Macaca mulatta: one gene and its partners. The protein of the gene in region 1 purifies or fractionates together with the protein of each later gene. This does not show direct contact. Links are inferred from orthologs where the notes say so. Each region holds a gene or a part of one and is shown in the gene's direction. Other genes may lie near its edges.

Evidence for each region.
Region 2: the proteins of SS18 (region 1) and SMARCA2 purify together in Homo sapiens (affinity purification with mass spectrometry; 6 studies listed by BioGRID and IntAct, counting the BioPlex papers as one, with this or other methods). This does not show direct contact. The link is inferred for Macaca mulatta from reciprocal best matches to the Homo sapiens genes SS18 and SMARCA2.
Region 3: the proteins of SS18 (region 1) and SMARCD2 purify together in Homo sapiens (affinity purification with mass spectrometry; 4 studies listed by BioGRID and IntAct, counting the BioPlex papers as one, with this or other methods). This does not show direct contact. The link is inferred for Macaca mulatta from reciprocal best matches to the Homo sapiens genes SS18 and SMARCD2.
Region 4: the proteins of SS18 (region 1) and BICRA purify together in Homo sapiens (affinity purification with mass spectrometry; 3 studies listed by BioGRID and IntAct, counting the BioPlex papers as one, with this or other methods). This does not show direct contact. The link is inferred for Macaca mulatta from reciprocal best matches to the Homo sapiens genes SS18 and BICRA.
Region 5: the proteins of SS18 (region 1) and BCL7C purify together in Homo sapiens (affinity purification with mass spectrometry; 3 studies listed by BioGRID and IntAct, counting the BioPlex papers as one, with this or other methods). This does not show direct contact. The link is inferred for Macaca mulatta from reciprocal best matches to the Homo sapiens genes SS18 and BCL7C.
Region 6: the proteins of SS18 (region 1) and SMARCD1 purify together in Homo sapiens (affinity purification with mass spectrometry; 5 studies listed by BioGRID and IntAct, counting the BioPlex papers as one, with this or other methods). This does not show direct contact. The link is inferred for Macaca mulatta from reciprocal best matches to the Homo sapiens genes SS18 and SMARCD1.

The regions. Positions count from the first base shown.
Region 1 is NC_133423.1:66,374,457-66,377,956, forward strand, and holds part of SS18 (protein SSXT), read left to right. Parts: intron 1-601; coding exon of another isoform or gene 602-694; intron 695-1,397; coding exon 1,398-1,520; intron 1,521-3,500. UniProt on the Homo sapiens protein: Appears to function synergistically with RBM14 as a transcriptional coactivator. Isoform 1 and isoform 2 function in nuclear receptor coactivation. Isoform 1 and isoform 2 function in general transcriptional coactivation.
Region 2 is NC_133420.1:97,273,487-97,276,472, reverse strand, and holds the end of SMARCA2 (SWI/SNF-related matrix-associated actin-dependent regulator of chromatin subfamily A member 2), read left to right. Parts: intron 1-146; coding exon 147-289; intron 290-1,608; coding exon 1,609-1,644; 3' UTR 1,645-2,486; downstream 2,487-2,986. UniProt on the Homo sapiens protein: ATPase involved in transcriptional activation and repression of select genes by chromatin remodeling (alteration of DNA-nucleosome topology).
Region 3 is NC_133421.1:73,636,762-73,640,783, reverse strand, and holds the start of SMARCD2 (SWI/SNF-related matrix-associated actin-dependent regulator of chromatin subfamily D member 2), read left to right. Parts: upstream 1-1,222; 5' UTR 1,223-1,611; coding exon 1,612-1,905; intron 1,906-4,022. UniProt on the Homo sapiens protein: Involved in transcriptional activation and repression of select genes by chromatin remodeling (alteration of DNA-nucleosome topology).
Region 4 is NC_133424.1:60,201,307-60,203,533, forward strand, and holds part of BICRA (BRD4-interacting chromatin-remodeling complex-associated protein), read left to right. Parts: intron 1-2,006; coding exon 2,007-2,227. UniProt on the Homo sapiens protein: Component of SWI/SNF chromatin remodeling subcomplex GBAF that carries out key enzymatic activities, changing chromatin structure by altering DNA-histone contacts within a nucleosome in an ATP-dependent manner.
Region 5 is NC_133425.1:29,522,544-29,526,567, reverse strand, and holds the start of BCL7C (B-cell CLL/lymphoma 7 protein family member C), read left to right. Parts: upstream 1-1,224; 5' UTR 1,225-1,328; coding exon 1,329-1,420; intron 1,421-1,970; coding exon 1,971-2,049; intron 2,050-2,314; coding exon 2,315-2,423; intron 2,424-2,515; coding exon 2,516-2,677; intron 2,678-3,264; exon of another isoform or gene 3,265-3,861; intron 3,862-4,024. UniProt on the Homo sapiens protein: May play an anti-apoptotic role.
Region 6 is NC_133416.1:57,257,564-57,261,693, forward strand, and holds the start of SMARCD1 (SWI/SNF-related matrix-associated actin-dependent regulator of chromatin subfamily D member 1), read left to right. Parts: upstream 1-1,330; 5' UTR 1,331-1,487; coding exon 1,488-1,664; intron 1,665-2,285; coding exon 2,286-2,473; intron 2,474-2,761; coding exon 2,762-2,804; intron 2,805-2,893; coding exon 2,894-3,016; intron 3,017-3,500; coding exon 3,501-3,623; intron 3,624-4,130. UniProt on the Homo sapiens protein: Involved in transcriptional activation and repression of select genes by chromatin remodeling (alteration of DNA-nucleosome topology).

The DNA.
Region 1 (3,500 bases):
GTTTATGATACTTGAAATATTTTCTAAAGATTTCCAAAATGGCAGCATTAAGATATATAATTTTGCATCTGAAGATACTTTGAGATACTTAAGTTTATGCAAGTAAATGTTAGAACATGAAAATTTTTCAGTTTCTTTCAGGGGAGAAACTTATGGAGCTCTTTTATATTTTGCATTGTTTTTAGCATATGCTGTGGAATTGGAGACCAGCAGAACAGGTGTTTGACAAAATATGATAATTACTTCCTTTGTTCATTCTACTTTAATTTAGGTTATTTACATGTGAAAGACCTAGATACTTTTATTCTCTTTTTTTAAAATGGGAGATAGTTTTTTTTTTTCCCTCAATGAGGATTATCAGATTTAAGACAATAAGTGTAATGTTTCTAAAACTACTGCTTTTTGCTTTTAAAAAAATTGCACGTTATCTCAATATGAAAACAATCACATTGGTAAATCTTTGGCTAATGCAATTGAAATTATTTTTTATGTTCCATTTCTTTTCCTTTTTTTTCAATTTTATCTGAAAGTTTAAATATTTTTAGGGTTTTCACTCAGTGGCCATTAACGTTTCTTCCTGTCTCTTGTCGAATTGATGTAGGTCATAATGATTACGGTTATCAGCAACCGTCGTATCCTGAACAAGGCTACGATAGGCCTTATGAGGATTCCTCACAACATTACTACGAAGGAGGTATCTATATACCTTCACACACATACACATATATATCCCCTTCTACAGGAATGAAAATTCTTGCATAAGACAACTTCTACCCATGCAAAGCTCTTGTAGAATACTAGTTGCTGGCTGTCTTGAAAGGTGCAGGGAGCCCAAAACAATCAAAATAATTTCCTTACAAATATTTAAAATGTATAACCATGACTTGCCATTTCTAACATTAATAAAAAGACTAAAACATTAAAGATAATTTTTTCCTCAGTGGAAATTTTCTATTTGAACATAAATCCATCCAACTTTTTTTTCTCGTGTGTGTTTACATATGTATAATTTTACATATAAGTATAGTGCCTTTAGGAAACAGCTTGCTGATCTCGTGTAGCTAGTGTGTGCTCTTGTAGCTGTCTTTAATTTTGTCTTTTTTATTTTATTTAGCATAGTCATGATCTTATGACTGTGATGTTCCAGTAAATGTAATGCTCGTATGGCAGAGACGCTGAAAATGCTGCAGTTCAACCTTGCAAAATTGGCTTTAACTGCAGTTTGTTTGGCCGAAATCCTTCTGTTTGGTTTGAGTTTTTTCTTTGTTTTGTTAACTTCTAAAAATCAATATGGCATTTCATTTTGTTCTTGTGTTGTTGGCTATGCATCTTAGAGGGAAAAAAGTTACTTAAGCAGACTTCTCAGTTTTTTTTCCTCTTCTCCAATTATCCTGTAGGAAATTCACAGTATGGCCAACAGCAAGATGCATACCAGGGACCACCTCCACAACAGGGATATCCACCCCAGCAGCAGCAGTACCCAGGGCAGCAAGGTTACCCAGGACAGCAGCAGGGCTACGGTAAAGCTTTGTACAGTTTATTTTTATCACGAAAACAATGTGGTGCTGATTGTTTTAAAATATGGAAGTGGATGTTTAATACTTATTTTTCCAAGAATTATCACTTGAAAATTCAGTTTTAGCCTAGTCTACTATTAAAATGTTGGTTTAAAATGTTGCTCTTAGATAAGCTAGTAATCCATTTAAAAAGAACTACAAATTGGAGATGGTTCATTGACTAAAGGTAAGGTGTGGAGTCATTTAAAAGACATGAAAAATGAATTATCAGACCTATTTGTCATGCCTAGCCTTGTGTGTGCTTGGAAAACTGATGATTGGATAATTATTGACCATATGTATATAATCTGCTTAGCAAATTTATTTTTAAAAACTAATGGCCAATACAGTTTTTTTAAAGATATACTGATTTTTTTTTTTTTGAGTAAAAATGAGATCTATTCAGAATGCATAATGAAAATGTTTTTGACATTCCCTAGTTAAATAGCAATATACATATCCATCGGGATGTATTATTGCAGCTATGTATCATACAGAATTTGGGGGAAGTGTAGCAATATTTTCCTATTATATACTCACTTACAATACCTACTACCTGGATATCTGACTAACTTAGGGAGTGGGGAATGATGAGGACCTAATATTTCAGCCTTAACTCTCAGGCTACTATAACCATTTTAGATATAACTCTTTTTAAAGGAAAGTAGCTGCTTACGAATACTGAATCCACCTCTTCCTAACCAGGGTCTCTTTTTTCACATAGGTAATATCTTATTATTTTTAGTCATTGACTTAAGCTCTGCCATTGCTGTGGACATCTCTGTCTACCTGTGATAGCAAATCTTAGAAATAAGGTCAGACTGAAATTCTCTTGCCCCCTCAGCGTATATGTTGAAACTCAGTCAGATATTGGGAGTCAGGTATTTTTCTAAAAATGTTAAATTCTGATTTCCAAATTCTAGATGTGACTTTAGAAATATTCCATGGGTTTTTTTCTTTCATAAAGGAACTTTCTTGCCCTTCCCAAACGGTCTTTTCATTTTGTGACTACTTAGTATTTATACTTTGAATAAATACAGTATTCTGGTTTGATTGCATTTGCATGAAAACAGATGTAATACAGCTAAATCAGGTCAATTCGTTGACTTAAGAGAAATACCTTCCAAATATCTTCAATGGTAAGAGAGGGTGAAAGAAAGCTTAATTTTTGTTAAAGTATGTTATAGTTAAATGCTATTTTGTTAGACATCAGGAATCCTAAGAGAAATTTCTGTTTTGTTTATCTATAGGCTTGTATTGTCAAAAAAACCTTTATTTCCACTAGAGATAAAGTTTTAATAAGTGAATATATAATTAATAAAAGATTGATATAATTTATTTAAGCTTGAAAACTTGTTCTCTTTTGACACTTTTCTCTGAAATCAGTGTTTTTATGGCAGGTTTTGAATGGCTATGATAGAAAACATTTAAGTGTCAAAGCTTTTCAGCTTATGGTTTGTTTTGTTTTGTTTTGTTTTTTTCCGACAGAATTGCACTCTTGTTGCATAGGCTGGAGTGCAGTGTTGCGATCTTGGCTCACTGCAACCTCTGCTTCCCAGGTTCAAGCGATTCTCCTGTCAGCCTCCTGAGTAGCTGGGATTACAGTCATGTGCCACCACACCCAGCTAATTTTTGTACTTTTAGTAGAGACGGGGTTTATTATATTGGTCAACCTGGTCTCAAACTCCTGACCTCAGGTGATCCGCCCACCTCAGCCTCCCAGAGTGCTGGGATTACAGGCGTAAGCCACTATATCCAGCCCAGCTTATGCTTTTTGAAGCATTCCTTACAATGGAAAGTAGTAGAGTTTATAAAACAGACATAATTGTTTAGCAAACCAAATCAGTCCCTTGCCATCTCTGGAATTTGTAATCATTTTTATGGATAAAGTAGTAAAGGTGATTAATTCTCAGTGTAACTTTTGAATCAAGTTTTTTCACATGT
Region 2 (2,986 bases), on another chromosome or scaffold:
ACCACACAGAACAGGCATAATCCAGGAATGTTCTGGGCACTCCGGGATGTTTGTGTTGTCTGTAGGTTGGTGATAGTCTTATCACCTATACAGATACCTCCCTTGTGATTACTCATTGCTATCTATTTCATTTGCTTTGGTTTTAGCAAAATCAGTCAAGGTGAAAATTAAGCTCAATAAAAAAGATGAGAAAGGCCGGGACAAAGGAAAAGGCAAGAAAAGGCCAAATCGAGGAAAAGCCAAACCTGTAGTGAGCGATTTTGACAGCGATGAGGAGCAGGATGAACGTGTAAGTGTAGCTGACTGGGACTGAAGGCGGAGGCGCCCTCTCCACTGCTCGCTGGCCTCTTGCATTTCCATGCCCCTTCAGCCTTTTCACTTTATTACCTAGGAGTGGAAATGTCAGGATTTAGTGAGATTTCATTATTGAGGGATGTGAATGGAGCTGTATGATTTAGAACAAAGAATTGGGGGCTTTGTTTATTGCTTTTTTAATAGTCTTCAAAAATGAAAAACTACTAAATCAAACTCTTTTCCCCCTTTTTAATCTTCCCACATGCTTGCTTATAAATATGGTTTTCCCCATAGCCAGTTAATATTTTATATCCATCACACCCAGCATAGCGCCTAGGTACATAGCAGTAGATTAGATAGAAGAATAAGAAAAAGTGATATGACGTCAGAGTTACTGGCTCGAGTTGCTACTTAAGGGACCGTGTAAAAAGTCAAATGACTTTTTTAAGTACCTAGGGGTGTTATTTTTAATATTTGAAAAATGCAGTGAGCATCTATTGAGCCAGGCCTTGTAATATAGGTACCTCACTGTGTGGTAGCTTATTAAATACTGATGTCAGCATCATGAGATAGATGTCACTCTCAAAAAACATGTTACAGAAATGGTTAGGTTATGTGTGTTTTGCTACAGATCACGTAGCAGAGGTGGGATGCGGACCCAAGTAGAATAATTCAGTCTAGTGTGCTATGCCTGACTGGGCAGCAAGGTAGAAGAGTGGGCAGAAGCTCCTAATACCTTGCCTTTTGAAATACCCTTCATTTCATCCATGCACTTTCCAGAAGATGGCTTCCTGGCACCCACATTCTTTGCTTTCTGGAAAGATAAATTTCCCTTTTTGTGTATGTGCTAGTTTGATTTTCCTTCAACACATTACCATTTTGGTAAAATTTCAGACTTATGATCTCACCCCAGCCTTAACCCTTGATGCAAACATTTTCAAATACATTTAAAATACTGTATTTTCTTTAGGAGATATCAAATGCAGGGTATTTTTTTTCTCCCATGAATTTTCTAAAACCTAGGACTGAAAAAGAGAAAGTATTAGCCATAAACCTTTCAAGCCGAAGTGAAAGGGCACAAACACCAGCTTAGAGGGTGGGCTTTGCTTTGGGGTTTTCAGTAAGAAAAACTTCTCAGCTTCGAGGCTGTCGATGCCTCTTTAATGTGTTTCTGTCCTTCCACGGAAAGAGATTTGGCGGGTTGTTTCCAAAATGTCATTTTTTTCCTAATGGCCTCTTGATGGTTTGTTTTGTTTTATGTATTCTTTTTCTTGCATGTGATGTTACTTCATTTTATCTTATTTTTACTTGTAGGAACAGTCAGAAGGAAGTGGGACGGATGATGAGTGATCAATATGGACGTTTTTCCTTGGTAGAACTGAATTCCTTCCTCCCCTGTCTCATTTCTACCCAGTGAGTTCATTTTGTCATATAGGCACTGGGTTGTTTCTATATCATCATCGTCTATAAACTAGCTTTAGGATAGTGCCAGACAAACATATGATATCATGGTGTAAAAAAAAAAACACACATACACAAATATTTGTAACATATTGTGACCAAATGGGCCTCAAAGATTCAAAGATTGAAACAAACAAAAAAGCTTTTGATGGAAAATATGTGGGTGGATAGTATATTTCTATGGGTGGGTCTAATTTGGTAACGGTTTGATTGTGCCTGGTTTTATCACCTGTTCAGATGAGAAGATTTTTGTCTTTTGTAGCACTGATAACCAGGAGAAGCCATTAAAAGCCACTGGTTATTTTATTTTTCATCAGGCAATTTTCAAGGTTTTTATTTGTTCGGTATTGTTTTTTTACACTGTGGTACATATAAGCAACTTTAATAGGTGATAAATGTACAGTAGTTAGATTTCACCTGCATATACATTTTTCCATTTTATGCTCTATGATCTGAACAAAAGCTTTTTGAATTGTATAAGATTTATGTCTACTGTAAACATTGCTTAATTTTTTTGCTCTTGATTTTTAAAAAAGTTTTGTTGAAAGCGCTATTGAATATTGCAATCTATATAGTGTATTGGATGGCTTCTTTTGTCACCCTGATCTCCTATGTTACCAATGTGTATCGTCTCCTTCTCCCTAAAGTGTACTTAATCTTTGCTTTCTTTGCACAATGTCTTTGGTTGCAAGTCATAAGCCTGAGGCAAATAAAATTCCAGTAATTTCGAAGAATGTGGTGTTGGTGCTTTCCTAATAAAGAGATAATTTAGCTCGACAAATGCAGCCTGTTTCTTTGAATTCTAGAGGATTGACACCCTTGTGCCTGAAGTGGCAGTTTTCTGTAGAGGGTTGGGCAGGCTCTTGCTACAGAACACTTGATAGGGAAAAAGAGAGCTTGAGAGAGCCAGTCTCCTTGGTGTGGTCCAACTGTGTCACCAGGGGCACCTGTTGCACCTATGACTTTAAACTATTAAACAGCAGAAGAGATGCTGCCATGGGCCAAGCCATATGAAGTCCCTGCCCAGCCTTAAATTCTGTTTCTTAGTTGGAAAATCTATATTGCTATTTATGTCTTTTGATTTTGAAAGATTTCAGAAATATTCCATTGAAAGACTGGTTCAGTGAACACCTATATACCCTCCACCTGAGATTCAACAATAATATTTCATCCTTACCCTGTTTTAATAAACCATCGGAAAATAAGTTGCCGTCATTATGATACTTTGCAC
Region 3 (4,022 bases), on another chromosome or scaffold:
GAAAACTATAAAAAATATCTGGGGTGCTATGATGCAAGAAAGGAAGCATTACTTGGTGGGGGCTGAAAAATAAACCAATTATAGTAAAGAAAAAAAAAAAAAAGTCTAGATCCTGGCTTCTTGACAGTATGGTCTAAGAAGCAACAGCATCGCTGGCAGCTTGTTAGAAATGTAGAGTCCTGGGCCCTGCCACAATCTGCATTTTTAATAAGAGCCTCGGGTGTTTTTTATGTGCTCATTAGGGTTTAAGCAGCACTGGGCCGTATCACGGTGAGGAGACCCAGACCATCAAAGGGACAGCTGAAGCATTTTTGAATACTTTGATACAGCACAGTGTATCTGAAAAGATACTGCATTTTTGAAAATTAAGTGCTATAAATACTAGAGAAAGACCTCTTTTTAAACTGCGGGGAGGTTTCTCATAAGCCAAATTTCTTTTGACTAGAAGCATTTGCTGGGGAGTAAAGTACCAGGCTTCCTTATAGTGAGGCAGAGCCACGTTAAAAATGTGCTGTAAGAGCTCAGCCTTGGCCAAGTCGACCATTCACCAGCTGGGTCAAGTCTGGAGCCTCCTAGGTCCCTTGGCAGTTCCGAGCTACCAGGATGAGCTTTTACAGGAAGTTGAGTTGGCTGCTGTTCTGCCCCAGAGAGCAGCTGAGTCTTTTTTCTTTTTTTGAGGAGTTTCACTCTTGCCGCCCAGGTTGGAGTGGAGTGGAGAGATCTCGGCTCATTGCAACCTCTGTCTCCCGGGTTCAAGCGATTCTCCTGCCTCAGCCTCCCGAGTAGCTGGGATTACAGGCGCCAGCCACCACTCTCGGCTAATTTTTGTATTTTTAGTAGAGACGGGGTTTTCACCATGTTGGCCAGGCTGGTCTCGAACTTCTGACCTCAGGTGGTCCACCCGCCTCAACCTCCCAAAGTGCTGGGATTACAGGCGTGAGCCACCGCTACCGACTCTGAGTTGGGTCTTTAATGTGGAAGATGCAGAAAGGAGACTTGACAAAACTATTTTCGGTGAGGCTGCTACACCGGGAAAGAGTAGTAGCAACTGCTCATTCACTGTGAAGCCTCAACGTGACCTTAGACCTCTGACCCCGCGCCTCACTCGGCGCTTCCGCGCGCAGCTTCCGCTCCCGCCCCTCCGATGAAGGGCGGGGCCAAAGGTGGGGGGTGGGACTCTGAGGTCGGCGGTTAGGGGCGGTGCCTGCTGGGGGCGGGTCTCGCGAGGGGCGGGATTCAAGGAGGCACTCGAGCATTGGGCACCAGGTAGAGGCGGGGCCTAGTGCTGGGCTGGGTTGGGCGGGGCAGGGAGTTCGTAGCCGCCTCTGGGTAACTCGACTCGGGCGGCCAAACCTCCGGAGTCCGGGGGCGGCAGGCGGGCCCACAGCAGATCCTGGATCCGGAATCTCCGGCGCAGGAGCGGAATCTGTCCCGAACCGGGTCTGTGAGGAACTCGCGAACTTGGATTAGGAAATCCCGGAGCCCGGATCGACAAATCCCGGAACCCGGAATTAAGATCGCCAAGTCCCGGATCGCGGAGTACAGAGCGCGGAGTGGACTCGACGCGTAGCCCGGAGTCCGGATCGCGGCACCGCGGGACGGGACGGAGCGATGTCGGGCCGAGGCGCGGGCGGGTTCCCGCTGCCCCCGCTAAGCCCTGGCGGCGGCGCCGTGGCCGCGGCCCTGGGAGCGCCTCCTCCCCCCGCCGGACCCGGCATGCTGCCCGGACCGGCGCTCCGGGGACCGGGTCCGGCTGGAGGCGTGGGGGGCCCCGGGGCCGCCGCCTTCCGCCCCATGGGCCCCGCGGGCCCCGCGGCGCAGTACCAGGTGAGTAGGGAGGACGCGAGCGGACGGGGGCGTGCGGCGCCGCGAGGGCGCCCGGGCCGGGGGCTGAGGGGGCCTCGAGTGAGGGCCTTGGGGAATGCATGAGGAACTTTGGGAGACGGTGGAGGGCGGGCCAGATCCCTCGGGCTGCGGCGGGTGGCGGTGGAGGAGTGGGGAAGGGGGAGCGAGTCCTGCAGCGGAGGGCTGGAACCAGCTGGGAGGCCTGGGGGCTTCCGCGGCACAGAGATTCCGAGTGACTGGGAGATGGAGGAGTTTGGGGAACCAGTGAATTGTGGGCGGGTGGGTTGAGAAGTCTAGGGTAGGAGGGCTAGAAAGTGATGAGAAAGTTTGGGAAAGGGCCCTCGCTGAGAAACCGGGGTTACCCTGCATCGGCCTTGGTCCCACTCCAAGTCTGCCCTGTTTTTTCTGGTTGCGAACTGGCCGAGCTCTAGCGTGTCTGAGATGGCTCCCGGCTGCTAATGAGGAGGAAGGAGCCTGGCTTCCCACGGGCACGGGACGCTGAGGCTAGGGCCAGGGGATTCATTCCAGCTTGTGCACGGGCGGACTTTACTCCAGAGGCAGGGCCAGGCGCCTTCGCTGGGGAGGACTCCAGCTTAGACCAGAGACGGTGGTGGCCAGGCTTGAGGGGAGGCCCAGCCTAGTCACAGGCCGGCTCTCTTCTGGGCTTTCTGCCTCCTGTCATCGTGTCGGGTAGTTGATTAGTCTGGACGTGCAGAGTGGAACCCTGCTGGTCTGGGGCCCGAGGAGTCTGCGAGAGTTGCTTCAAAGAGTGCTGTCCTGACCCCTTTGGGGTTTTGAGAGCTGCTCAGGTTTCAGCTTCAAAAGCCCTTGGAAGGCAGCGACTTCTGCTCAGTGTGTGAGAACCTCAGCCTGACCCTGCTGGTCCCCTAGTCTGCTGTTCAGGTTGCACCAGCAGGCTTGGAAACTGTGCCCATCTGCCTTATCATCCTCTCTGCATTTTTATTTGGCCTTCAGGTTCTAACTCCGCCACATCCGAAGCCATATGCCCCAGCATTTGACACTGGCTTCTCCCAGGGTCTGCTGTGGGCTTCCTCTGTTTTCGACTCCTGTCTCCAGGCGGAGGTCCTTAGGGATCCTCGTGGAGTATACACAGCCTACCTGCCCCACTGGGCCTCACATCTAAGGAGATGGCTTAACTAGGGACAGTGACTGGATTTTTTTCCCTTCTTCCTCCTCATTCTTCCTCCTTTCTCAAGAGAAAACAGAGTCTGGATATGGGCAGAGACAGACCTGGTCCCAGGGACTCCAGCTGGGGCTCATCTTTCCCACCCTACTCTCCCCCTTGGGGATTCATGGGCCCAGGGTGTTGCTGAGGGCTCCCTGCATCAGTCATTGTAGCCCTTGGGCCTGCCCACTGAGACCTGGCCTGGGCACCATCTGTGGGCCTTTGGCCTTGGAAGGACCTGGAACAGACAAGCCGCTCCAGTTTCCTTGGCATGCAAAAAGTCATAGGAAATGTGCCCTTGAGACAGCCCCTAAGAGAATGGATTCCACATGTTTGGTGGGGGGTGGCCTTGGGCTTGTGGCAAGGCCAAGCTGGCTGGCTGGTTAGGCCTGGGCTGCTAGCTGTGGGGAAGTAGGAGATGGCCCTGAGTCTGGGTTTCCCATCCCACTAGCTTTCCTCCTCCTGGCAGGAGAGGTAGATGGTACAGAGAACCCAGCCAGCTAACTTTGGCTGAGTTTGAAGAGGATCCTACTTGCTCTCTTTCCAAGTCCAGTTGTATGACTTCCAGGGGGGACTTGAGATCTGGGAAACAGAGGGGTTCCTGTCTGTTAGGGCTCATGAGATGTGCTGGAAAAGCGAGAATTTGAGGCCCAAGCTGAACAAATAGTTGAAAGAAGGGAAGTGATGACCTCCCTTCCTCCAGAGGGTGGTTCTGGCTGTGGATCACAGTTAACAGAGGAACCTAAAACAAAAACAACAACAAAAAACCCTCCAGGGCAGGATGTGGTGGCTCACACCTATAATCCTAGCACTTTGGGAGGCCCAGACAGAAGGATTACTTGAGATCAGGAGTTCAAGACCAGCCTAGGCAACATAGTGAGACCATAATTTCTCAAAAAAAAAAACCCAAAAAAATTTAGCCAAACTTGGTGGTGTGCGCTTATGGTCCCAGCTAGTCGGGATGCTGTGGCAGGAGGATTGCCTGAGTCCA
Region 4 (2,227 bases), on another chromosome or scaffold:
CCTTCCTACTGCGGCTGGGCCTCCCTTGACCTGCCGCCTCCCAGACCAGAGAGCCCACATCCATCTTCCTCCATCCCTGTGTGTCCCTTTCACGAACCCCGACACCCTAGGATGGGGGGAATATTCTGCTACCCCCATGGGACAGAAAATGGGAGAGCAGGCTCCTAGGTTGCAAAGTATATGAGATAGCGCCCACTCTTGGGTGCCAGTCCTTTGGGGACTCTGAGAGTGAGTGCCTCCTTAAGTGTTGCACCTTAGGCGGCTCGCTGGCCTCACTCTAGTCTCCTGTCTGCAGGAAACGGTACAGGCAGTTCCCAGCTGCCAGAGTTTTTAGAATATTCCCTTAGCCCTCACCTGCATTCCAACTCCAGAGCTTCCATTAAAAAAACATGGTCCCTGCTTTCTGCTGCCAGGCCCAGGCTTTTCACCTCGAGCTCTGGACCTGAATTTTGAAAAAGTAGTCATTGGTACTTAAATGGGTGCAAAGGGGGGGCCATAGTGAAGGAGGGGCCGGGAGCGAGTCTGAAGTCTCTAGGGTAGGAGAGGAAGGATAGTTCGGTGGTTAGGGGCTCGATGCTGGATTCTTGGTTCAAATCCTGGCTCTGCCACTTACTGACTGTGTGACCTTGGGCAAGTTACTTACCTTCTCTGTGTCTCCGTGTTCTCATTTTGTAAAGTGGGGGTTTTGATGATCAGTTTACAGTCCTTTATCTGACACCATTGGGGCCCGATATGTTCTGGAATCCTTGCTTTTAGAAAGGCGATGAGCTACCTAGATGCTGTCTTCTGGTTTACCCCCAGTGGGTTTGGGGAGGCACTCTATGATCAAACACACTTCTGGAGTGACATCGATGGGTATCCAGAGTAGTTGGGATAAATCAAGACCATAAATAACCTCATGTAGCCGGGTGTGGTGGCTCACACCTGTAATCCCAGCACTTTGGGAGGCTGAGGCTGGCGAATCACCTGAGGTCAGGAATGCGAGACCAGCCTGGGTAATGTGGTGAAACCCTGTCTCTACTAAAAATACAAAAATTAGCTGGGCATGGTGTCTGGCACCTATAATCCCAGCTACTTGGGAGGCTGAGGCAGGAGAATCACTTGAACCCAGGAGGCAGAGGTTGCAGTGAGCTGCGATCACGCCACTGCACTCCAGCCTGGGCAACAGAATGAGACTCTGTCTCAAAAACAACAACAATAACAACAACAAAAACACCTCATGTCATTTCAGACCAGATTTTGAAATTAGATACTTCTTTTTTTTTTTTTTGAGATGGAGTCTCGCTCTGTCCCGCAGGCTGGAGTGAGTGGCGCGATCTTGGCTCACTGCAAGCTCCGCCTCCTGGGATCATGCCATTCTCCTGCCTCAGCCTCCCGAGAAGCTGGGACTACAGGCACCCGCCACCGCGCCCGGCTAATTTTTTTTGTATTTTTAGTAGAGACGAGGTTTCACTGTGGTCTCGATCTCCTGACCTTGTGATCCGCCTGCCTCGGCCTCCCAAAGTGCTGGGATTAGAGGCGTGAGCCACCGCGCCCGGCTGAAATTAGATACTTCTTAACCCCATTTTTAAAAAGTTATGTATATAATTAGAGCAATGCTGTCCAATAGAACTTTTATATTTTATTTATTTATTTGTTTGTAGAGACAGGGGTCTCACTACTGTGCCCAGGAAGGTCTCAAACTCCTGGGCTCAAGCGATCCCCCTGCATTGGCCTCCCAAATGCTGGGATTACAGGCATGAGCCTTGTTTTATAGTCTCTTAATTCAGTTAAGTCTGAATGAGCCCCACGTGGCTCGTGGCTGCTGTGCCAGACACAGTGGTTTGGAGTTGGGGGAATTTGGGCCTTGCTGAAGAGGGTCTCACCCAGCCTGTCCTGAGGATTGGAGGGTCCAGGGTGCGGTCTGGTGCCTGGCAGGGGGTAGGTGCTTTGCACACAGCTCCTCCCAGCTCGGTCGCGGGGGCCTCAACCTAACCCCGTGGGTTTTCTTTGCCCCGATTCTGCAGACGAGTACGTGTCTTCCTCCCGCTCGCTCGGCCTCCCCGTTGCAGCCTCTTCTGAGGGTCATCGGCTCCCCGGCCACGGCCCCCCGTCGTCTTCAGCTCCCGGGGCCTCCGCCCAGCCCCCTCCACACCTGCCCACCAAGCTTGTGATCCGGCATGGCGGGGCAGGCGGCTCCCCTTCGGTCACCTGGGCCCGGGCGTCCTCCTCCCTGTCCTCCTCCTCC
Region 5 (4,024 bases), on another chromosome or scaffold:
ACACACACAGCAGCACAAATTTTGACATGGTCTTATCTGCTGACAAGCCAGCCTCAAATAAAGTCAACCAAGACACACTCACTTTCTTTAAGTAATGCACATTTTATTTAAGTCATGTGATGGATTTTCACAGAGTACATATGCCCAGGGAACCAGCACCGGATCACACAACAGAACTGGATCAGCTCCCAGAAGCTCTCCCCTCATCCCCTCCCAATCCTAAGGGCGACCACTATCTTGACTTTGGTGCACTTTAAATTAGTTTTGTCTGGTTCTGAACGTAATACACCTGGAACCATCTAGTATGTACTGTTGTATTTGGCTTCTGTCACTCAAGATTTCGTCATGCGACTTGTCTATGTTGCTGGGTGTAGCCGGGCATGTCACTCCCGTTGCTGTGTCTATGTGCATGGTAATGAGTAGGGCATCATTCATTTTCCATTCTGTTGATGGGTTATTTCCAGTTTGGGGCTGTTATGAAAGGGCTCTGAACGTTCCCAAGCACCCTCTTGGTGCTCACACCTACACATTTCTGCTGGGTGTTGACAGCCTAGGAGTGGAATTGCTGGATCACAGAGGTGGCATATGTTCGGCTTCACTAGAAAACTGCCAGTTCTCAAAACGTCTCTACCAATTTACACTCCCCCAGAAATACAAGAGAGGTTCAGTCGCTCTACTTTCTCGCCTCCACATGGTGCGGTCTTTTTCACTTTAGCCATTCTGGTGGGTAGAGACCTACTCGTATTCGCAGCGCCTGGCGCGTAATTGGCGCTCAGTTAACAGGACTGTTGAATGAATGGATGAATGAGTGTTGGGCGGTGTAGACCGAGAGCCTGGCGAGGGCGGACACACGCACGCACTCCACACACAGCGTTTCGCGGACACCCACCGCGGCGCACGCACCCCAGGACACAGACCCTCTCGAGCACCCCGCGCCCACGTGGTCTGAACGCACCGCCTCGGCCCTGCCTCGCGCGTCCGGCAGCCGAGCAGTACCCAACTCCCGCTCTCGACGGCGGGCAGGGGGCGCTGCGCGTCCAGGCGCTCCGAGGGGGCGGGCCCGGGTCGGGGCGGGGCCGGCCGGGCTTCCAGGCCTGGGCTCTGGCCGCCCGCGCCACCGGGCCGCTCCGGGGACGGGCCGGGGCGGGGCACGGCGGCAGGAAACGGGGCGGGGACTCGCGGAGGCGTTGGGGACGAGAGAGGGCGCGGCCAACTCCCGGGGGGACGGCAGGCCGAGAGCGCGGCGCCCGGGCCTGGCGCCGAGCCTGAGCCCGCCGGACGGGAGGCGGCCCCGCCGCGGGCTCGGCTCCGGCCCCAGCCCCGCCAGCATGGCCGGCCGGACCGTACGGGCCGAGACCCGGAGCCGGGCCAAGGATGACATCAAGAAGGTGATGGCGACCATCGAGAAGGTCCGGAGATGGTGAGCGCTGCCCGGGGGCCAGGGACGGGACACGGCGGGACCACCACCACCTAAGGCGTCTAAGCTGCCCTCGCCAGCTCTGGGCCCCGGTGTTCGCTGTATCCCCGCCCACTAGCTTTGCCCTGGATCTGTCCCCGTTCCCCTGGCTACTCCTGGGGGTCTACAAAGCGTGGTCCCCAGTCGTGCTCTCCCAGAGTGGGAGCCCCCGTTTGTGCCCCGCCCCCTAAAGCTTTGACACTCCTTCTGCAAGTGCGCCCCGAGATCTGCAGGTCTCTGATCCCGGGCCAGGCCCATAGCCACGCCCCCCGTGTGTGCCCCAGGGGTCCGCAGAGCCAGGGCCCAAATCATATCCTCTGTCTAGAGGCACCCACCGCCTGTGCCCTGGGGTTTGCAGGGCTCTCTTTCTCCATGTAACTATGCCCCATTAGCAAAACTGTTGCTACCCTCCTGTGCCTCCCCAACCTCTGCAGGTACCCCCAGATGTGTCCGGCTCCTGGGGGGGTGGGTCTCCCCTCAGGCCTCTCTGACCCAGTCCCCCACCCTCCCACAGGGAGAAGCGATGGGTGACTGTGGGCGACACTTCCCTTCGTATCTTCAAGTGGGTGCCAGTGGTGGACCCCCAGGAGGAGGTGAGCAACCCCCATTCCCACAAGGCCCTGCATCTGTGCAACCTCAGGCAAGCTCCTCCCCACCCTGACCTCTACCTCCAGCTCCCAGAGACCTCAGATGCAGCAGGACAGACAGATGGGAACCATCATTAGCAGCTCCTCCCCTTTTTCCCTCTTTTCTGTTCCACACCCTGAGTTCGAGCCCTTTTGCTTCTCAGTGCCTCAGTTTCCTTAGGTGTATGGTGGGGCTTTCCAAGAGCTCTGACCCTAATCCTCTAACCCCCAGGAGCGAAGGCGGGCAGGTGGCGGGGCAGAGAGATCCCGTGGCCGGGAACGTCGGGGCAGGGGCGCCAGTCCCCGAGGGGGTGGCCCTCTCATCCTGCTGGATCTCAATGGTAGGTAGGGATCCTGAAATGCGGAGGGCTGTGGGGACTGAAGGAGTGTATTAGGGATCTCAGGCCAACCATCTCGGCTCTTGCTCCCACAGATGAGAACAGCAACCAGAGTTTCCATTCGGAAGGTTCCCTGCAAAAGGGCACAGAGCCCAGTCCTGGGGGCACCCCCCAGCCCAGCCGCCCTGTGTCACCTGCCGGACCCCCAGAAGGGGTCCCTGAGGAGGCTCAGCCCCCACGGCTGGGCCAAGAGAGAGGTAGGACCAGGTACCTCCCAGGAGCCCTCTCCTCTAAGTCCTGTCTTCTCCAGAGTCTAACCTACCAGCTTATCCCTATACCTGCTCCCCATCTTGTGCACCTTCCTCAAGGTGCCTTCCGACTCCTGCAGAATGTCTCTGTAGTTGCTGTCTCATTCCTCTGGTCTCTTAGGATCTATAGATGACATATCACTGTCTGAGACTTTCATGTAAATTAATTTTTTACTATCTTTCTCCTCACTCTCATGTCAGTTTCCTGAATGTTGGGCCCATATTAATCCTTTTTTTTTTTTTTTTTTTTTTTTTGAGACAGGGTCTCACTGTGTCACCTAGGCTGGAGTGGTGCAGTGGTGTGATCATAGCTCACTGCAGCCTTGAACTTCCTGGGCTCAAGCGATCCTCCCGCCTCAGCCTCCCAAGTAGCTTGGACCACAGGCATATGCCATTTGTATTTTTTGTAGAGGCAAGGTTTCACCATGTTGCCCAGGCTGGTCTCAAACTCACTCACTCAAGCGATCCTCCATCTTCAGCCTCCCAAAGTGCTGGGATTACAGGTGTGAGCCATCACACCCATACCCGCCCCCCCCTTTATTTTTTTAGAGAGAAGTTCTCTGTCACCCAGGCTGGAGTGCACTGGTGCAATCATAGCTCACTGCAGCCTCAAACTCCTGGGCTCAAGGGATCCTCTGGCCCCAGCCTCCCAAGTAGCTGGGGACTACAGGTGTGTGCCACCACACCCAGCTAACTTTTAAATTTTTTGTAGAGTTAGGGTCTCGCTATGTTGCCAAGGTTGGTTTCGAACTCCTGGCCTGAAATGATCCTTCTGTCTCAGCCTCCCACGGTGCTGGGATTATAGGCGTAAGTCACTGTGCTTGGCCCTATGTGATCTTGTTCACTACTGTATTCTCAGAATAATATGGGACACAGAGTAGGTGCTCAGTAAATATCTGTTGAGTGAATAAATAATAGTGATAGTCATAGGGGTGATTAATAATAACAGGAATAACAACAGTATTTATTGAGCTCTTACTGTGTGCCAGGCGCCCTGGTAAACACTTTACATGGTTGGGTTTTTTTCTTTTCTTTTCTTTTTTTCCTTTGAGTTTCACTCTTGCCCAGGCTAGAGTGCAATGGCACAATTTTGGCTCACTGCAACCTTCACCTCCCAGGTTCAGGCAGTTCTCCTGCCTCAGCCTCCTGGGTAGCTGGGAATATAGGCATGAACCACCATGCTCGGCTAGTTTTATATTTTTAATAGAGATGGGGTTTCGCCATGTTTTGCCAGCCTCGAACTCCTGACTTCAGGTGGTCCGCCCACCTCGGCCTCCCAAAGTGCTGGGACTACAG
Region 6 (4,130 bases), on another chromosome or scaffold:
GGGAACAGCAGGCAGGGCTTTGGGTGACGCATGCCTCTGGTCTAATAAACTGGGTTTCAACCATCTCCTCTTCAGTGTTGTTCACTTATTTGAAAACATATTTAGGTATTCTCACTAAGTGCCTAGAGCTGAGCTTGGTTTTGGGGCCAAACAATTAGGGGATGAGTAAGGAGAAGGTTTGAGTAGGGAGACTGTGGTCCTCCTGGGATGGGACGGCTGACCATCGTATCAGGAATAGTTTGAACCACTGGGCAGGGAAAGAGGGAGGAGTCAAAGGCAACAAAGGTCCAAAACAGAATCCCCATCACAAACAATGCTTTAGAGAGAGAGCAGAGTCAAAATTCAAGATAAACTGGAACTTATTATAAAATCTGAAAGCAGGCTGGCACGGTGGCTCACGCCTGTAATCCCAACACTTTGGGAGGCTGAGACGGGCGGATCACTTGAGGCCAGGAGTTCGAGACCAGCCTACGCAACATAATGAAACCCCCATCCCTATTTTTTAATATTAAAAAAAAATCTGAGGCCAGGCACAATGGCTCACACCTGTAATCCCAGCATTTTGGGAGGCTGAGGCGCGCAGACCACTTGAGCTTAGGAGTTTGAAACCAACATGGGCAACATGGTGAAACCCTGTCTCTACCAAAAATACAAAACAGCCTGGCATGGTGGTGCATGCCTGTGATCCCAGCTACTCGGGAGGCTGAGGTGGGAGGATCACTTGAGCCTGGGAGGCGGAGGTTGCAGTGAGCTGAGATGGTGCCACTGTGACAAAGAGAGACCTCATGTCGAAAAAATAATAATAATAATAATCCGGAAGCAGGTTAGGTCGGAGACAAAGTTAGGTTGAAGTTCCCACGTGAGGTAGTTATTGAGGCACTTTATCTGTGGAATGAGTCCTGGGCTATGAGCAAGAAGACCTGGAATCTTGGCTTCGGCTTTATGACTAACTTGCTGGTTGACCTTTGCCAAGTCGTTCACCTGTGAGTTCAGCTTTCCTATTTGGAAAATGGAATAAACTGTGTTTCCCTCCTCAGCCCCTGATAGTTATAGCAGTAAGAAAATGAAACGAAAAGCAATCAAAGCGTTTTGGGAAGTTAATGCCATGCGCCAAGATGAAGCTATTACTCCAAGCACCTCATCATCAGCGGGCTGGAGTCGGGGTTGAGACTGGGGCTGAGGCTGTGGTCCGTCCCCCTTTCCAGGTCCTTGTCTACCTCCCGTCGGCCTGGGGGCGCCCGCTCACGGGGCCTCTCTATCCCAGAGTTCTTCTCTATGGTTTTCCCTCCAGGACCGTGAAGGCGGGAGGGCGTGGCCAGCACGCCTTTTCCGCTACTCGCTCCTCTCTAGGCGACAGTCTCGCTGCCCTGAGCCTCCCGTGCCGGCCAGCCGGCCGGGGGAACAGGCGGGCGCTCGGGGGGCGCTCAGGGGGCGGGGGGAGTTCCGGTTCCGGTTCTTTGTGCAGCTGCATCGGCGGCTCCGGGAAGATGGCGGCCCGGGCGGGTTTCCAGTCTGTGGCTCCGAGCGGCGGCGCCGGAGCCTCGGGAGGGGCGGGCGCGGCTGCTGCCCTGGGCCCGGGCGGAACTCCGGGGCCTCCCGTGCGAATGGGCCCGGCTCCGGGTCAAGGGCTGTACCGCTCCCCGATGCCCGGAGCGGCCTATCCGGTGAGTGGGGCAGGAGGAGGGACGCGCGGGCCGGGGGCGGGGCCGAGCGGGGACGTGGGAGTGACAGGGGTGGGGGGAGAAGTAGGAGGGACTCCCTTGGGAGGGGTTCGGGCTCTGGGTGGGGGTTGGGGGAGGCAGTGCGCAGGAAGAGAGGGGGAGGCAGTTGGCGTCCACACCTGCTCCTAGGGGCATTGTTTCCGTGGGGAGTCGGTAGAGAACCAGGGTGGGTGAAGTGGGTCCAGGGATACCTGTACGAGGGCCGGAGTGCAGAGGGGCTTGAGCAGCTCCATTGATCAAAGGAACACAGAACGTGTAGTTGACAAATTGAGGTCAGCTTCTAAAGAGATAGTAGCTAGCAGAGTAAATGTGGAACTGGCGATGTCCGATGTGTCCGATCCAAAATAGACCGATAATTTGAGTATAATCTGGCTCTCGCTTAGCTTTTGGACTCTTTATTTTTCTGTGGAGTCACTGCTGGAGCAGAGGGTTCTCGTCTCATTGTCCTCCATTCCATCCGTAAACCTTACTTCATTCAAAGAACTCAGGCGTTCCCTGCTTTTCTTTCTTGGTGGGGTTTAGCAGGTGAAACCATGACATCTCTGGGTCCTCTCCCCTCTGTAGAGACCAGGTATGTTGCCAGGCAGCCGAATGACACCTCAGGGACCTTCCATGGGACCCCCTGGCTATGGGGGGAACCCTTCAGTCCGACCTGGCCTGGCCCAGTCAGGGATGGATCAGTCCCGCAAGAGACCTGCCCCTCAGCAGATCCAGCAGGTCCAGCAGCAGGCTGTCCAAAATCGAAACCACAAGTAAGATGATCCTGGGGCAGAGGGAGGGAGGGAGGGAGCCTGGGAGTACACAGGTGGTGGGATTACCTGAACCAAGAAGTGGTGGTGCTGTGTCAGCAGATGGTGCTACAGGATGATTGAGAATGCTTGGTGGTGGTGGTGGTGGTGGTGGTGGTGGTGGTGGTAGTTCTTTGATTTGAGAGAAGCTTTGCAATCCCTTCACATTACTATAAATGGACATGCTGACAGCTTATTTTCACGTTCTGACTAGTTCTGTCCCAACCTGATAATAGTGTTTATTCCCAACAGTGCAAAGAAAAAGAAGATGGCTGACAAAATTCTACCTCAAAGGGTGAGTCCAGGCTGTTTTCTGGAAAGTGTGGTAGGTTTGAGTATAGAGATGAATCATCCTAGATTTCAATTAATTTTTCTGTTCCTAAGATTCGTGAACTGGTACCAGAATCCCAGGCCTATATGGATCTCTTGGCTTTTGAAAGGAAACTGGACCAGACTATCATGAGGAAACGACTAGATATCCAAGAGGCCTTGAAACGTCCCATCAAGGTAACACAGGAAGTTACTAAGCAGAGAGCCAAAGGAGAGGACCCAGGAACCTTCAGCAGGCTTAGGATGAGAAATCAAAGGCACAGCACAACTCTCCTTGGCATTTAAATTGTATCTTTCCCTTCCGCCTACAAACTGAGAATTACATTAGGAGGATAAGAACAGAATGGCAAAGGGGGAGGGGCTCTTGATGTCTCTTGCACTACAAATATACCCTTGTCCATGTTTTTGCTGTAACTGCTCTGCTACCTTGGGAACCTGGCACCTTGCATGACTTTGTCCACCTGGCATCCCACTGTATGCACTTGTACTTAGGCTGATGGCCAGTACTCCTCTTCTAAATGGAATCTTCATCCACCCACCCAAGGGACTGGGTAGACAGTAAGCCAGTCTGTTAGGAATAATTTTGGGGTTTGGGGAGACTCTTGTCTTCAACATTAGACCACTGAAGCCCCACGATCAATCCTGTTTCTGCCTTCCTCAGCAAAAACGGAAGCTGCGAATTTTCATTTCTAACACTTTCAATCCGGCTAAGTCAGATGCCGAGGATGGGGAAGGGACGGTGGCTTCCTGGGAGCTTCGGGTAGAAGGACGGCTCCTGGAGGATGTGAGTTCAAGGTCCACAGTGGTTGGCATCTAGGGTGGGAGCTGCTGGGAATGAACAGTGTTGTCTGGTCAGCAGGAAGCCTAACTGGTGCTCACAGCTCCTTTTGGGAGCAGTAGGGAGAGGGACACTGTTCCCTGCACTGAAAGACAATGGTCCTTTGTGTTTGCCCCCACACCTTTGGCCTTCACTGGTATCATATGGAGAACCTTATTGTCCTGGGATCTGATTTGTGATTTACCTTCCTCTTGGTGCTGCTGGCCATTGGATTTAGCCGTATCTGTAGATTATTTAGTTTTTGTTTTGTTTTGTTTTTAGTCGAGTTTGCACTTAATTTGAGGCCGTGTTTCCTCTCTGAGTTCTTGTGGTATCTCCATCTTCTCAACTTTCATTGGAGGCACCCCATAGTTTTAAGTAGGATAGATTTCTCTTGACAGGCTCTTTGTTGCTTCCTGGGGAGCATCAGCTGACAGGTGATAGCCCCCAAACTTCCCAACCCAGAAGCTCCTC